Linked DNA regions of Stegostoma tigrinum. The protein of the gene in region 1 interacts with the protein of each later gene in a pairwise test. Links are inferred from orthologs where the notes say so. Each region holds a gene or a part of one and is shown in the gene's direction. Other genes may lie near its edges.

The links.
Region 2: the proteins of 5'-AMP-activated protein kinase subunit beta-2-like (region 1) and glycogen phosphorylase, muscle form interact in binary tests that used the Homo sapiens proteins (3 or more experiments, as listed by UniProt). The link is inferred for Stegostoma tigrinum from reciprocal best matches to the Homo sapiens genes PRKAB2 and PYGM.

What each region holds. Positions count from the first base shown.
Region 1 is NC_081361.1:47,764,318-47,771,487, reverse strand, and holds the start of 5'-AMP-activated protein kinase subunit beta-2-like, read left to right. Parts: upstream 1-4,104; 5' UTR 4,105-4,854; intron 4,855-7,170. Other genes in the region: scyl3 (protein-associating with the carboxyl-terminal domain of ezrin), read right to left, coding at 3,807-3,971. UniProt on the Homo sapiens protein: Non-catalytic subunit of AMP-activated protein kinase (AMPK), an energy sensor protein kinase that plays a key role in regulating cellular energy metabolism.
Region 2 is NC_081395.1:11,084,803-11,092,088, reverse strand, and holds the start of glycogen phosphorylase, muscle form, read left to right. Parts: upstream 1-4,250; 5' UTR 4,251-4,486; coding exon 4,487-4,729; intron 4,730-7,286. UniProt on the Homo sapiens protein: Allosteric enzyme that catalyzes the rate-limiting step in glycogen catabolism, the phosphorolytic cleavage of glycogen to produce glucose-1-phosphate, and plays a central role in maintaining cellular and organismal glucose homeostasis.

The sequences.
Region 1 (7,170 bases):
TTGTAAATTATTTTTGAACCCTTTCAAGTTTAACAGTATCCTTCCTATAGCAAGGAGACTAGAACTGAATCAGAGATAATGGGAACTGCAGACACTGGAGAATCCAGGATAATAAAGTGTGAACCTGGATGAACACAGCAGGCCAAGCAGCATCTCAGGAGCACAAAAGCTGAAGTTTCGGGCCTACACCCTTCATCAGAGAGGGGGATGGGGTGAGGGTTCTGGAATAAATAGGGAGGGGGGGGGGGGGGGAGGCAGACCAAAGATGGAGAGAAAAGATGATAGGTGGAGAGGAGAGTATTGGTGGGGAGGTAGGGAGGGGATTGGTCAGTCCAGGGAAGACGGACAGGTCAAGGAGGTGGGATGAGGCTGATAGGTAGGAAATGGAGGTGCGGCTTGAGGTGGGAGGAAGGGATGAGTGAGAGGAAGAACAGGTTAGGGAGGCAGAGACAGGCTGGGCTGGTTTTGCGATGCTGTGGGGGAAGGGGAGATTTTGAAGCTGGTGAAGTCCACATTGATACCATTGGGCTGCAGGGTTCCCAAGCGGAATATGAGTTGCTGTTCCTGCAACCCTCGGGTGGCATCATTGTGACACTGCAGGAGCCCCATGATGGACATGTCATCTAAAGAATGGGAGGGGGGAGTTGAAATGGTTAGCGACTGGGAGGTGCAGTTGTTTATTGCGAACCGAGCAGAGGTGTTCTGCAAAGCGGTCCCCAAGCCTCTGCTTGGTTTCCCCAATGTAGAGGAAGCCACAGCGGGTACAATGGATGCAGTATACCACATTGGCAGATGTGCAGGTGAACCTCTGCTTAATATGGAAAGTCATCTTGGGGCCTGGGATGGGGGTGAGGGAGGAGGTGTGGGGGTGAGGGAGGAGGTGTGGGGGTGAGGGAGGAGGTGTGGGGGTGAGGGAGGAGGTGTGGGGGTGAGGGAGGAGGTGTGGGGGTGAGGGAGGAGGTGTGGGGGTGAGGGAGGAGGTGTGGGGGTGAGGGAGGAGGTGTGGGGGTGAGGGAGGAGGTGTGGGGGTGAGGGAGGAGGTGTGGGGGTGAGGGAGGAGGTGTGGGGGTGAGGGAGGAGGTGTGGGGGTGAGGGAGGAGGTGTGGGGGTGAGGGAGGAGGTGTGGGGGTGAGGGAGGAGGTGTGGGGGTGAGGGAGGAGGTGTGGGGGTGAGGGAGGAGGTGTGGGGGTGAGGGAGGTGGTGTGGGGGTGAGGGAGGTGGTGTGGGGGTGAGGGAGGAGGTGTGGGGGTGAGGGAGGAGGTGTGGGGGTGAGGGAGGAGGTGTGGGGGTGAGGGAGGAGGTGTGGGGGTGAGGGAGGAGGTGTGGGGGTGAGTGTAGCACTTCCTGCGGTTGCAGGGGAAGGTGCCGGGTGTGGTGGGGTTGGAGGGCAGTGTGGAGCGAACAAGGGAGTCACGGAGAGAGTGGTCTCTCCGGAAAGGAGACAAGGGTGGGGATGGAAAAATGTCTTGGGTGGTGGGGTCGGATTGTAGATGGCGGAAGTGTCAGAGGATGATGCGTTGTATCCGGAGGTTGGTGGGGTGGTGTGTGAGAACGAGGGGGATCCTCTTTGGGCGGTTGTGACGGGGGCGGGGTGTGAGGGATGTGTTGCGGGAAATGCGGGAGACGCGGTCAAGGGCGTTCTCGACCACTGTGGGGGGAAAGTTGCGGTCTTTCCATATTAAGCAGAGGTTCACCTGCACATCTGCCAATGTGGTATACTGTATCTATTGTACACGGTGTGGCTTCCTCTACATTGGGGAAACCAAGCGGAGGCTTGGGGACTGCTTTGCAGAACACCTCCGCTCGGTTCGCAATAAACAACTGCACCTCCCAGTCGCTAACCATTTCAACTCCCCCTCCCATTCCTCAGACGACATGTCCAACATGGGCCTCCTGCAGTGCCACAATGATGCCACCCGAAGGTTGCAGGAACAGCAACTCATATTCTGCTTGGGAACCCTGCAGCCCAATGGTATCAATGTGGACTTCAGCTTCAAAATCTCCCCTTCCCCCACTGTATCACACACCCAGCCCAGCTCATCCCCTCCACCCACTGCATCCCAAAACCAGCCCAGCCTGTCTCTGCCTCCCTAACCTGTTCTTCCTCTCAACCATCCCTTCCTCCCACCCCAAGCCGCACCTCCATTTCCTACCTATCAGCCTCATCCCACCTCCTCGACCTGTCCGTCTTCCCTGGACTGACCTATCCCCTCCCTACCTCTCCACCTATCATCTTTTCTCTCCATCTTTGGTCCGCCACCCCCTCTCTCTATTTATTCCAGAACCCTCACCCCATCCCCCTCTCTGATGAAGGGTCTAGGCCTGAAACATCAGCTTTTGTGCTCCTGAGATGCTGCTTGGCCTGCTGTGTTCATCCAGCTTCACACTTCATTATCCTAGACTAGAACTGAATGCAGTCTTCCAAAAGTGGCCTAACCAAGGTCCTTTATAGCCAAAGCATCATCTCCCAACTCCTAAACTCAATGCAATGAACAATAAAAGCAAGCTTACTAAATGTTTTCTTCCACTATCCTGTCTACCTGTAACTTCTCTTTCAAGGAACTATGAAACAGCACTTCAAGGTCTCTTTGTTCATCAAGACTCTCCAGGACCTTATAAATCCCACCCTGATTTGCCGTACCAAAATGCAGCACCTCCCATTTACCTAAGTTAAACTTCATCTGCCACTCCTTAGCCCATCTGATTAAGGTGCCATTGTACTATGGGGGCAACCTTCTTTGCTGTACTCAACACCACCAACTTTGGTGTCATTTGCAAACTAACTAACCATATCTCCTATCTGCACATCCAAATCATTTATGTAAATAACAAAAAACAGTGGACACACTATCAGTCCTTGCAGCACACTGCTGGTCACAAGCCTCCAGTCCAAAAAGCACCACCACATTGTCTCCTGCCTTCAAGTCAGTTCTGTATCCAAATGGCTAATTCTCCCTGTATTCCATGTGATCTAACCTTATTGCTCAGTCTACCATGCAGCTCCTTGTCAGAGGCCTTAATGAAGTCCACATAGAAAAAAAGCCATTTTGCCATCAGTCCTCTTTGTCACTTCTCCAAAAATTTAATCAAGTTAGTTAGACACGATTTCCCATGAACAGAGCCATGTTTACTATGTCTAATCAGTCCTTACCTTTCCTCATCCATGTAAATTTTGTCCCTCAGAATCACCTCTGAAGACTTGCCCATCACTGATGTCAGACACACCAGTCTACATTTCCCTGGCTTTTCCTTAACCCCTTTCCTAAATAATGGCATCACGTTAGCCAACCATTGGGTCTTTCAGCATGTCACCTGTGGCTACTGATGATGCAAATATCTCAGCAAAAGACCTAGCGATCACAAAGGAAGGATTAAGTATGATTAGAATGGTTCAGGCTGGTACAATTATAGCATTTGAAAGACATCTGCATGAGTATATGAACATGATGGGTTTAGAGGGAAATGGGCTAAATGCTGGCAAACGGTACTCTATCAATTTAAGATATTTGGTTGGCGTGGATGAATTGAACCAAAGGGTCTATTGCCGTGCTGTACATCTCTGACTTCAAGTGTAGAGTCTTTCTCAGCCTACTCCTCCACGAGGGGCAAGACACACCCCCTCCAAAACATAACTCTCAGGACAGGTGGAGGGGCAGCATCGAACCACTTGCCCACCGACCTCCCACGGTCGGGGCGGAATCAATCCCAAACTTTGGGGTAAGGGTAGAGGCTGGGGCTGGGGCAGAAACATCCTTACTCACACATCCCACCCTCAGGGCGGTAGAAGCCGCCTAGGGCCACTCTACCTTGGCTGCCTTGTTGACGGCCTCCTCGTTGCCCCGCTGATAGATGAACACGGACACCAGCCGCTCTTCCTCCAGAACCGCCCGATAGACGCTGAGACCGGCGGGCAGAGTGACCGGCGGCTCTTCGAGCCGGCAACTCCGGGCCGCACTGCTCTCTGCGCCCATATCCTGAAAAAGCGGAGGGACCGAATCCACTGCGGACTCGGACAAGGACCTCCAAAGAACTGGTGATCCCAACACATCCGGCTGACCCGGAAACACAGGTTACACCCCGCCCGCATGCGCAGTCTGAGGCGAGTGCGCCGGAAGAGAAGCTGAGACGTTGGTGTTAACGGCCAGTTGTTCTCTCAGGATGGGAGTTTGGTATTAAAACCCCGTCAACGATGGCTCCTTAAAACAAAGAACTGCGGATGCTGGAAATCTGATACAAAAGCTGCTGGAGAAACTCAGCAGGTCTGGCAGCATCTATGGAGAGAAAAAGTGGAGTTAACCGGTCCGATGACCCTTCTTCAGAATGAGGCTTCCTCGACATCGCACTCATTTTCTGTTCATCTCCCTTTCTTCCTCATTGAGAAAACCCCTGAGAATATGCTCAGGCCGATCTATCAAGGTTTAAGAGAAGACTGCTTAAACCATTTACACAGTCTTTGATTCATGCAACGTGGAGATGTAGACATCTCCAGACGGTAGATCGAAGTGAACACGGTGTAATCAGTTGTTTGAATTCCTTGAGCGACTATACGTAAATTGTGCAATAAATCCTAATTTCAAACGGCAGGGAAAGGGAAAAACAATGAAGTCGTTTAGGATAGTTCATTTGGAACTTTAAGGATAAAAGTTCAAAGGATCATTTATCTGAAATGAAATAAAAATCTGAAAAAGGGAAAGACTTGACAATGTCGAAGAAGATTTCCAACACTAAAGGTTTTTAAGCTACTCAGGTGTAAACCTGTATTTGGGACCAGTGGCCATTTGTCAATATCTGGCAACAGACGGTGCACCTTAAAGGTCACCTTAATAACGATATTTTTCATATTGACAGTTCTGGGTAAGTCACAGGATTCCAATGTTTTACAAGACTGTTTTGGTCATCTGAGGGTCAGAGGGAAAACAAATGCATATTTGTAGCACAAATTAACAATATCCTAACAAATTTCTTCATAATCTAGGATACTACCAAAAATCATTCATGAGACTGTAAATACAGTAATGCAAATTTAGATTGGATAGTTCAATTGTTACTGTAAACATTGGAGTTTAAAGTGGCAAAATGTAAAAGTAAACAAACTGCTTTTCCTGAAGAATACTTTTTCCCTTGATTGTCCAAGTGTAATACTGTGGGAGTTTGACTAATAAGTTCAAATGCTCAATATTAGCCTGATCAATTATCATGTTTACTACCTTACACAGAATTAGAATTAGCTTTATTGTTACATATACTGCACTTGGCGGTGCCATCTTAGGTGTCTTGGTACCTAGGCACAGATTCTTAGGAATAAATTGGAAAAATGCAAACTCATAGGAATAAAATATTCTAAACTACTGCCTTTTCACCACATTCTGCCCCAGCACTTAGCCTCCAGACTACAAAAGGAATAAAAAATGAAATTGCATAAATAGAGTTCAATTTCTCAACAAGGGGTCTACAATCACAAATAGGGCTTTGAAGTAATGTATTCACTCCCGGGTAATGGACAAAATCTTAAGCACAGAAGATAAGACATTGAAGCAAAATTAGGCCATTCGGCCCATTGCTTTTGCTCCACCATTCAGTACATGATATGTTTCTCAACTCCATTCTCCTGCCTTCCCCAAACTCTCAATCCCCTCACTAATCAAGAGCCTATCTATCCCTGTCGTAAATACGCTCAATGACTTGGTCTCTACAGCCTTCTACTGCAACGTGTTGCATGAATTCACCACCCTCTGGCTGAAGGAATTCCTCCTCATCTTAGTTCAAACAATTTGACCCTTCAGTTTGAGGTTGTTTTCTCAGGTCCTAGTCTCTCCTATCGGTGGAAATATCTCCACATCCACTGTATCCAGGCCTCTCAGAATTTTGTAAGTTTTGATGAGATACGCTCCTCATTTCCTTCCACACTCCATGGAATACAGACCCAGAATCCTCAACTCCACCTCAAAAACAAGCCCTTCACACCTGGATCATTTTTGTAAACCTCTTTTGGATCCCCTGCAAGGCCAGACATCCTTCAAACTGAACTGTTAACCTTAGAAGAATCCTGAACTAGGAAGCCTAAGTCTTTTTGTGCTTCAGATTCCTGAAGGCTTTTCCCATTTAGAAAATAGTCCCTATTCTTCTTACCAAAGTGTATAACCTCTCACTTTCCCCACATTGAGAAAAGAAGTGGCAGATGGAATACACTCTCCTGTCTTGCCCAAGTCCTTATGCAGCCACCCCACATCCTCAACACTACCTGTCCCTCCACCTATCTTTGCATCATTGGCAAACATACCAACAATGCCCTCAGTTTCTTCATCTAGATCATTAATGTATAACTTGAAAAGTTGTGGTCACAACACTGATCCCTGCAGAATCCACCAATCACTGAATGCCATATTGAAAAAGACTCCTTTATCTTGCTTTCTGCCAGTCAGTTAGTCTTTTATCCACATCAGTACCTTGTCCCTAACACTACAGGCTCTTATTTAGCAGTCTCCTGTGCAGCACCTTGTCAAAGATCTTTTGGAAATTCAAACAGATCATATCCACTGGCTCTCCTTTGTCTAACTTCTTTTACCCATGCACTTCCAAGTACTCCACAAACTCATTTTTAAAAATGCTGTAAAATCTTAACAAAGTCTGTAGTCAGGCTAACTAGCCTATAATTTCCTATCTTCTACATCCCTCCCTTCTTAAACAGGCATGTTCCATTAGCCATTCTCCAATCCTCTGGGACCCTCCCTGATTCCAGTGATTCCTGAAAGATCACCAGCAATACCTTCACAATATCCTTCATGACTTTGGGGTGTAGTCCATCCGGTCCAGGAGATTTATACATCTTCAGACCTTTCAGCTTCTCCAACACCTCCTTAGAGTTGGCCACTACTCTCACCTCAGTAGACTCTCTTGAAGTTCTGGTATGCTACCCATGTCTTGCATCATGAACGCTGATGCAAAATATCTAATTAATTCCTATTACTTTTCTTTGTTCCACATTACTACTTCTCCAGCCACATTTGTTGGTAATCCAATGTCCACTCTTGTTTCTCTTATTATTTTATCCTACTTGATAGCTTAACCTCAAATTTCATTTTCTCCTTTCATTTGCTTTTATAGTCATCCTCTGCAGGTTTTAAAGGTTTCCCAAACCTCTGCCTTCCCACAGTTTGCTTTTTCTTTTGC
Region 2 (7,286 bases), on another chromosome or scaffold:
AAGATCTGGATTAAAAAGCTGGTCTAATGGCAACCGGGTTGATTATTGGAGACACTCAACTGCTGTGTTTGAGGGAAGGGTCCGGCCTGAGCCCACATGTGACTCCAGACCCGCAGTGTGGCCTTGACTCTTAATTGCCCTTGGAGCAAGCCACTCAGTTCAAGGTGTTACTAGGAATTTATGGTAAATGCTGGGCTCAGTCAGTGATGCCAATATCCCAGGAAGAATGATAAATAATACAGAATCCTGGGAAAAAGAGACTCATGGAATCTCCACAGGGAGGAAGCAGGCCATTCCGGCCCATCGAGTCTACACTGACTGTCCAAAGACCATCCCACCTCTTGCCTTACCTGTAATCCTGCAATTCCCACGGCCAATCCACCCTAACCTGCACATCCCTGGGCACTACGGGACATTTAGCACGGCCAATCCACCCTAACCTGCACATCCCTGTGCACTGTGGGACAATTTAGCACAGCCAATCCACCCTAACCCGCACATCCCTGGGCACTATGGGGCAAGTTAGCACGGCCAATCCACCCAAACCCGCACATCCCTGGGCACTATGGGACAATTTAGCACGGCCAATCCACCCTAACCCGCACATCCCTGGGCACTATGGGACAATTTAGCACGGCCAATCCACCCTAACCTGCACATCCCTGGACACTATGGGACAATTTAGCACGGCCAATCCACCCTAACCTACACATCCCTGGACACTATGGGACAATTTAGCACGGCCAATCCACCCTAACCTGCACATCCCTGGGCACTATGGGACAATTTAGCACGGCCAATCCACCCTAACCTACACATCCCTAGGCACTATGGGACAATTTAGCACGGCCAATCCACCCTAACCTGCACATCCCTGGGCACTATGGAACAATTTAGCACGGCCAATCCACCCTAACCTGCACATCCCTGGGCACTATGGGACAATTTAGCACGGCCAATCCGCCCTAACCTGCACATCCCTGGGCACTATAGAACAATTTAGCACGGCCAATCCACACTAACCTGCACATCCCTGGGCACTATGGAACAATTTAGCACGGCCAATCCACCCTAACCTGTACATCCCTGTGCACTATGGGACAATTTAGCACGGCCAACCCACCCTAACCTGCTCATCCCTGGGCACGATTGGACAGTTTAGCACGGCCAATCCACCCTAACCCGCACATCCCTGGACACTATGGGACAATTTAGCACGGCCAATCCACCCTAACCTGTACATCCCTGTGCACTATGGGACAATTTAGCACGGCCAACCCACCCTAACCTGCTCATCCCTGGGCACTATGGGACAATTTAGCACGGCCAATCCACCCTAACCCGCACATCCCTGGGCACTACGGGACAATTTAGCACGGCCAATCCACCCTAACCCGCACATCCCTGGGCACTATGGGACAATTTAGCACGGCCAATCCCTCCCTAACCTGCACATCCCTGGGCACTATGGGACAATTTAGCACGGCCAATCCACCCTAACCCGCACATCCCCGGGCACTATGGGACAATTTAGCACGGCCAATCCACCCTAACCCGCACATCCCTGGGCACTATGGGACAATTTAGCACGGCCAATCCACCCTAACCCGCACATCCCTGGGACACTATGGGACAATTTAGCACGGCCAATCCACCCTAACCCGCACATCCCTGGGCACTGTGGGACAATTTAACACGGCTAATCCACCCTAACCTGCACATCCGTGGGCACTATGGGACAATTTAGCACGGCCAATCCACCCTAACCCGCACATCCCTGGGACACTATGGGACAATTTAGCACGGCCAATCCACCCTAACCCGCACATCCCTGGGCACTATGGGACAATTTAACACGGCCAATCCACCCTAACCTGCACATCCGTGGGCACTATGGGACAATTTAGCATGGCCAATCCACCCTAACCTGCACATCTTTGGACTGTGGGAGGAAACCGGAGCACCCGGAGGAAACCCACACAGACACGGGGAGAATGTGCAAACTCCACACAGACAGTCACCCAAGGGTGGGATCGAACCCGGGTCCCTGGCGCCGTGAGGCAGCAGAGAGCCTGTCCAGCATTGACCCTCAGAAGTCTGTGCCCACTGGAAAGGGATTCAAGGGAATCTAGTTTAGGTGAGGACCAGGAACCCAGACGTAGGGTGGTGTGAAAGGGTAGGGGAGGTTATTGACAGCAGTTGGCACTAAGAACTTAATAATATCAGTCCAAGCTAGGCAGCAGGAGGTGACGTGGGACCGTTAGTATTTGAGGGCAATTAAGCTGATGGGGCTGGCGGTGGAGCTCATGAGTGAAAAATCCCAAGCAAATTCTTTCAGAACAGCACCAAGGCAGTGCCCTCCCGCCCACAATGCTGCTCTGAATATCAGGTTCAATTTCTTGCTGAGTGTTTTGAGTCATTTCCTCTCACCTCCTCCACCCCACACTGACACTTCCCTCCAATTCAGGAGCAGTTAAATTTTGGCACCGCAAAGCAGGGCAGGACTTATACACTTAATGGTGAGGTCCTGGGGAGTGTCGCCAAACACCGAGACCTTGGAGTGCAGGTTCCTAGCTCCTTGAAAGTGGAGTTGCAGGTAGACAGGGCGGTGAAGAAGAAGGTGTTTGGGACGCTGGCCTTTATTGGTCAGTGCATTGAGTGTAGGAGCTGGGAGGGTCATGTTGCGGCTGTACAGGACATTGGTTAGGGCCACTTTTGGAATACTGTGTTCAATTCTGGTCTCCCTGCTACAGGAAGGATGTTGTGAAACTTGAAAAGGTTCAGAAAAGCATGAGGGGCATGGATAGGGTGAATAGCCAAGGTCTTTTTCCCCAGGGTAGGGGAGTCCACAACTAGAGGGGCATAGGTTTGAGGTGAGAGGGGGACAGGTTTAAAAGGGACCTAAAGGGCAACTTTTTCACACTGAGGGTGGTGCGTGTATGGAATGAGCTGCCAGAGGAAGTGGTGGGGGCTGGTACAATTACAACATTTAAAAGGCATCTGGATGGAGACATGAACTGGAAGGGTTTACAGGGATATGGGCCCAAATGCTGGCAAGATGGGACTGGATTAATTTAGGATATCTGGTTGGCATGGACGAGTTGGACCAAAGGGTCTGTGTCTGGGCTGCACATCTCTATGACACCATGACTGTAAGGGTATTTTTCTCCTGACTGGGCATCTGAGAAGCCAGAAATAAACTGGAGATTTGATCGTTGCTGTCATACAAAATATCTCCAGTTCATACATCTTCATTGATCAGTGACAACTCCCTCTACAAGGAGTCCCCTGTCAGCAGAACACTGAGATGCACCTGATTAAATAAAGGTGCAGGGTCCCTGCCCCAACCCCCTGTGACCTTAGCTGAAACCAGCCATCCCTCCTTCCCTGCTTCGCACACCCTGTATGGACTGCAGCAGTTCAAGAAGCCGGTTCGTCACCACCTTCTCCAGTGCAAATGGAGCCAGGCAATAAATGCCAACAAACCCCCAGACAAGTGAAGCACAATCCAGAATATCCCCTAAATATTTAGGCAATTATTTGACTTTGCAAAGGTTTATTTTTCCCATTGCATTTCTTTCCTCTCGCTCTGGCTCAGTCTGCATAAAATGTGCAGGCTGGTGTATTTTTTTACTTTGCAAAGGATATCTTCAGACATTGTGAACCTGTGACATTTGGGGCTATTTGATGGGAAGGGAAGGGTCTTGAAATAGCATCGTGCTTTAACGCAGGAGTGCCTCGGCTTGAGTTGCAGCCCAAGAGGAGGAGGAACGTGAGACCGGGCACGATCCTCCTGGGGCTCTGGACTCATCTGTCAATCAAGGCTCAGGGCCGGTGGGCGTGAGCCCGCCGGGAAGTGTAGTCTGCTTGTTTCGGAACGGTCGTAGAGAAGAGGTGGGAACTGGAACAGGGTGGACTACAAATCCCAGAAATCCCAGAGTGGCTTGTTCCAGCAAGGCGGCCGATGCGACGGCCAGGCTGTGGGCGGACGTGCGCAGGCGCATTACCGGCCGTCGTAGTCCCTCTCATTTTGAGACATAAACTAGAACGACGGGAAGAATGGGGGGCGAAGGACTACATACCCCGTCGTGCCTTGCGGGTCCACCGTCGCCGCGTAGGGTTGGAGGAAAGTGGAGGGGCGGAGACGAGGCGTGAAGGGGGTGGGGCACGGTCTATGCAGATAAGGGGGGGCGGGGATACATGTTAAGGAGGCTTGGCGCATCAGGGGACGGGATATGTAAAACAAAGGGGCGTGTCCATGCAAATGACGCCATGTGTTTAACGAAGGGGGTTCGGGAATGCTAATGCATATGGATGGCCGGGATGTACATATTGATGAAGCGGGCCGTTGAATATTGATGAGTCGCGCGCTGAGCGGCTGGCGGGAGGAGACTAACAGTCGGTTAAAAGGCGGTGACAGAGGGGTGTTGGGGGGTGGGGGCTGAGGGACAGACAGAGACACACACACACACACACACACAGCATCATGTCCCGGCCGCAGACCGACGTGGAGAGGAGGAAGCAGATCAGTGTGAGGGGCCTGGCCGGCGTGGAGAATGTCGCCGACCTGAAGAAGAACTTCAACCGGCACCTGCACTTCACGCTGGTGAAGGACCGCAATGTGGCGACCCCCCGCGACTACTACCTGGCGCTGGCCCACACCGTCCGGGACCACCTCGTCGGCCGCTGGATCCGCACCCAGCAGTACTACTATGAGAAGGACCCCAAGGTCAGCGGGGGCAGCGGGAGCGCGGGGGGCTGGGAGGGAGAGGACACCCGGGATGGGAGGTACGGGGTAATGGGAGGGGGATGATCCAGGGGATGGGGGGAGGAGGAGGAGGAGGATACAGGGGATGGGGGAGGAGGAGGAGGATACAGGGGATGGGGGAGGAGGAGGATACAGGGGGATGGGAGGAGGAGGAGGATACAGGGGATGGGGGAGGAGGAGGATACAGGGGATGGGGGAGGAGGAGGATACAGGGGATGGGGGAGGAGGAGGATACAGGGGATGGGGGGAGGAGGAGGAGGAGGATACAGGGGATGGGAGGAGGAGGATACAGGGGATGGGAGGAGGATACAGGGGTTGGGAGGAGGATACAGGGGATGAGGGGAGGATACAGGGGTTGGGAGGAGGATACAGGGGATGAGGGGAGGAGGAGGATACAGGGGGTGTGAGGAGGAGGATACAGGGGATGTGAGGAGGAGGAGGAGGGGGGGTTAATGGAAGGAAGGAGTGATCTGGCGTGGCTATAGAGGATACAGAGGAGGTGGATATGGAGGAGTATGGAAGAGACGATACTGAGAGGATATGGAGGAAGGGGGAGATGCAAAAGGGGGATATGGAATGGGAGGCAGGCAATGTGGAAGGGGTATATGGAGGAAGAGGGGGATTCAGAGGGAGAAGGGGGATATGAGGAGAGGAGGGGGAGGGGGATAGAGGATGGAGGCTGGGAATGGGGGATACAGAGGGGGTGGAGTGGAGAACATGGATATGGAAGGGGAGAAGGGTATGACGGGTCTGATATAGGGACATGAAATGGAAGAGGGTATCGATGGGAGGAGGTGGTGGGGAAGGGGGTATAGAAGAGCAGAGGTGTAGTGTGATGGGAGTTAGGCGTATGTGACAGTGGGTGAGGGTTCCTGGAATGGGAAGAAACAGGGCTTCTGTGCCTAGCAATACTATTTTTTTTGCTATTCATTTGTGGGATGTGGGTGTCGCTGCCTGGCCCAGCATTTGTTGCCTATCCCTAGTTGCCCTTAAGGTGGCGGTGAGCTGCCTTCTTGTTATGAAAGGACCCCAAGGTCACTGTTAGGGCAGAGATGGAGGAAGGTACATGATAGATATACAGTAAGCAGCACTATTATGAGAATGACTTTTGGAATACCGAAATACAAGGAGTGCTTAAATTCTGTTGGAGTTGGACTGAAAGGTCTGGTTCTGTGTTGTACATTTGACTCTATGACCCCATGGTGAGGAGATACCTGGGAGGGGTGAGAGCATGATGGTGGGAGGGGCAGTACAGAATGTTTTGGAGGACTCTGAAGACATTACAAGAAAGATCCCCCCTCCTTTCTGGGTATAGGGGAGCAGGGGGGGGTGGTCTGCAGTTAGCAATGCTATTATGAGACTGACTTCAAGTTTGGGGGGTAGCTGGGTGGGGGTTTGGTCGTGAGAGGGAGAACTGAGGTTATAGGGGTCTTTGAACAGCCAGACCAGTGTAGAATGATCCAAAGATGAGGAGGCACACGGCGAGGAATCTAGTACTGGGCCAGGTGGATCCACAGGTGGCAGTGTGTTATTGTGAGGAGTAAATGACACACAGGTAGGGGGCATTGGGGGAAGAGGTTACACACCTGACAGCACAGGTGAGGACTGATGGTCACTGTAGGGCGGTGTGATTGGTATGGTGATGGCGGGGTGGGAAAGCAGGCATTGGGTGATGGGCACTGGAGGGTAAATTCTGAACCTGCATGGTGGGGGTAGAATTCAATGCTGGGTACTGAAGAGGGAGGAGCTGGGTGGGTGATGAGTGTCGGTGTTATAGCATGGACACTGAGTTATGGGAGGAGAGAAATGAATGAAGGCGGGAGAACGTTAGGTGATGGATGAGACCCAGTCAAGAATGCAGGCCATGGGGGTAGTGATGACATTGCGTAATGTGGGCCTGATATGTCAGTGGGAGCTCTGCACAGAGAGTCATGCCAAATAGTGAGACCTGGAAGCTGGTGCCCAGGCACTAGCAATGTGCAGTGGAACCTGCATTCGAGGTCTTGAGATACCAAGAACTTCAGCGATGATGCCACGGTCAGTCACAAAATAATTGGGGCGAAGAATTACTTCTACCAATTGCTGAGGACAAACCTGTTATTATGTAACACTGGCGTATAGCCTGGATTGTGGCAGGGCTGCCACTGTATTACAATAGAGCCAATATTGGTGGGGATCGGGCTGCCCTATTACACTGGTAGTTGTCATTTGTGCCACAGAAACACCAGGCAATAACCAACTCCAATAAAAGACAATTTAACCATCACCCCTTGATATTCAAGGAGTTACCATTGACTGGAAAATCAACTTGAATTGCCGCATAAACACAGCAGCTACAAGGCGAAATCAGAAGCTAGGAATAGTGTGACGTGTAACTCCCCTCCTGATTCCTCAAAGCTGGTTCACGATCAGGCACAAGTCAGGAGTGTGAGGGAATATTCCCCACTTGCCCCTGGATGGGGGCAGTTCCAACAACGCTCAAGAAGCTTGACGCCATCCAGGACAGTGCAGCCTTTCT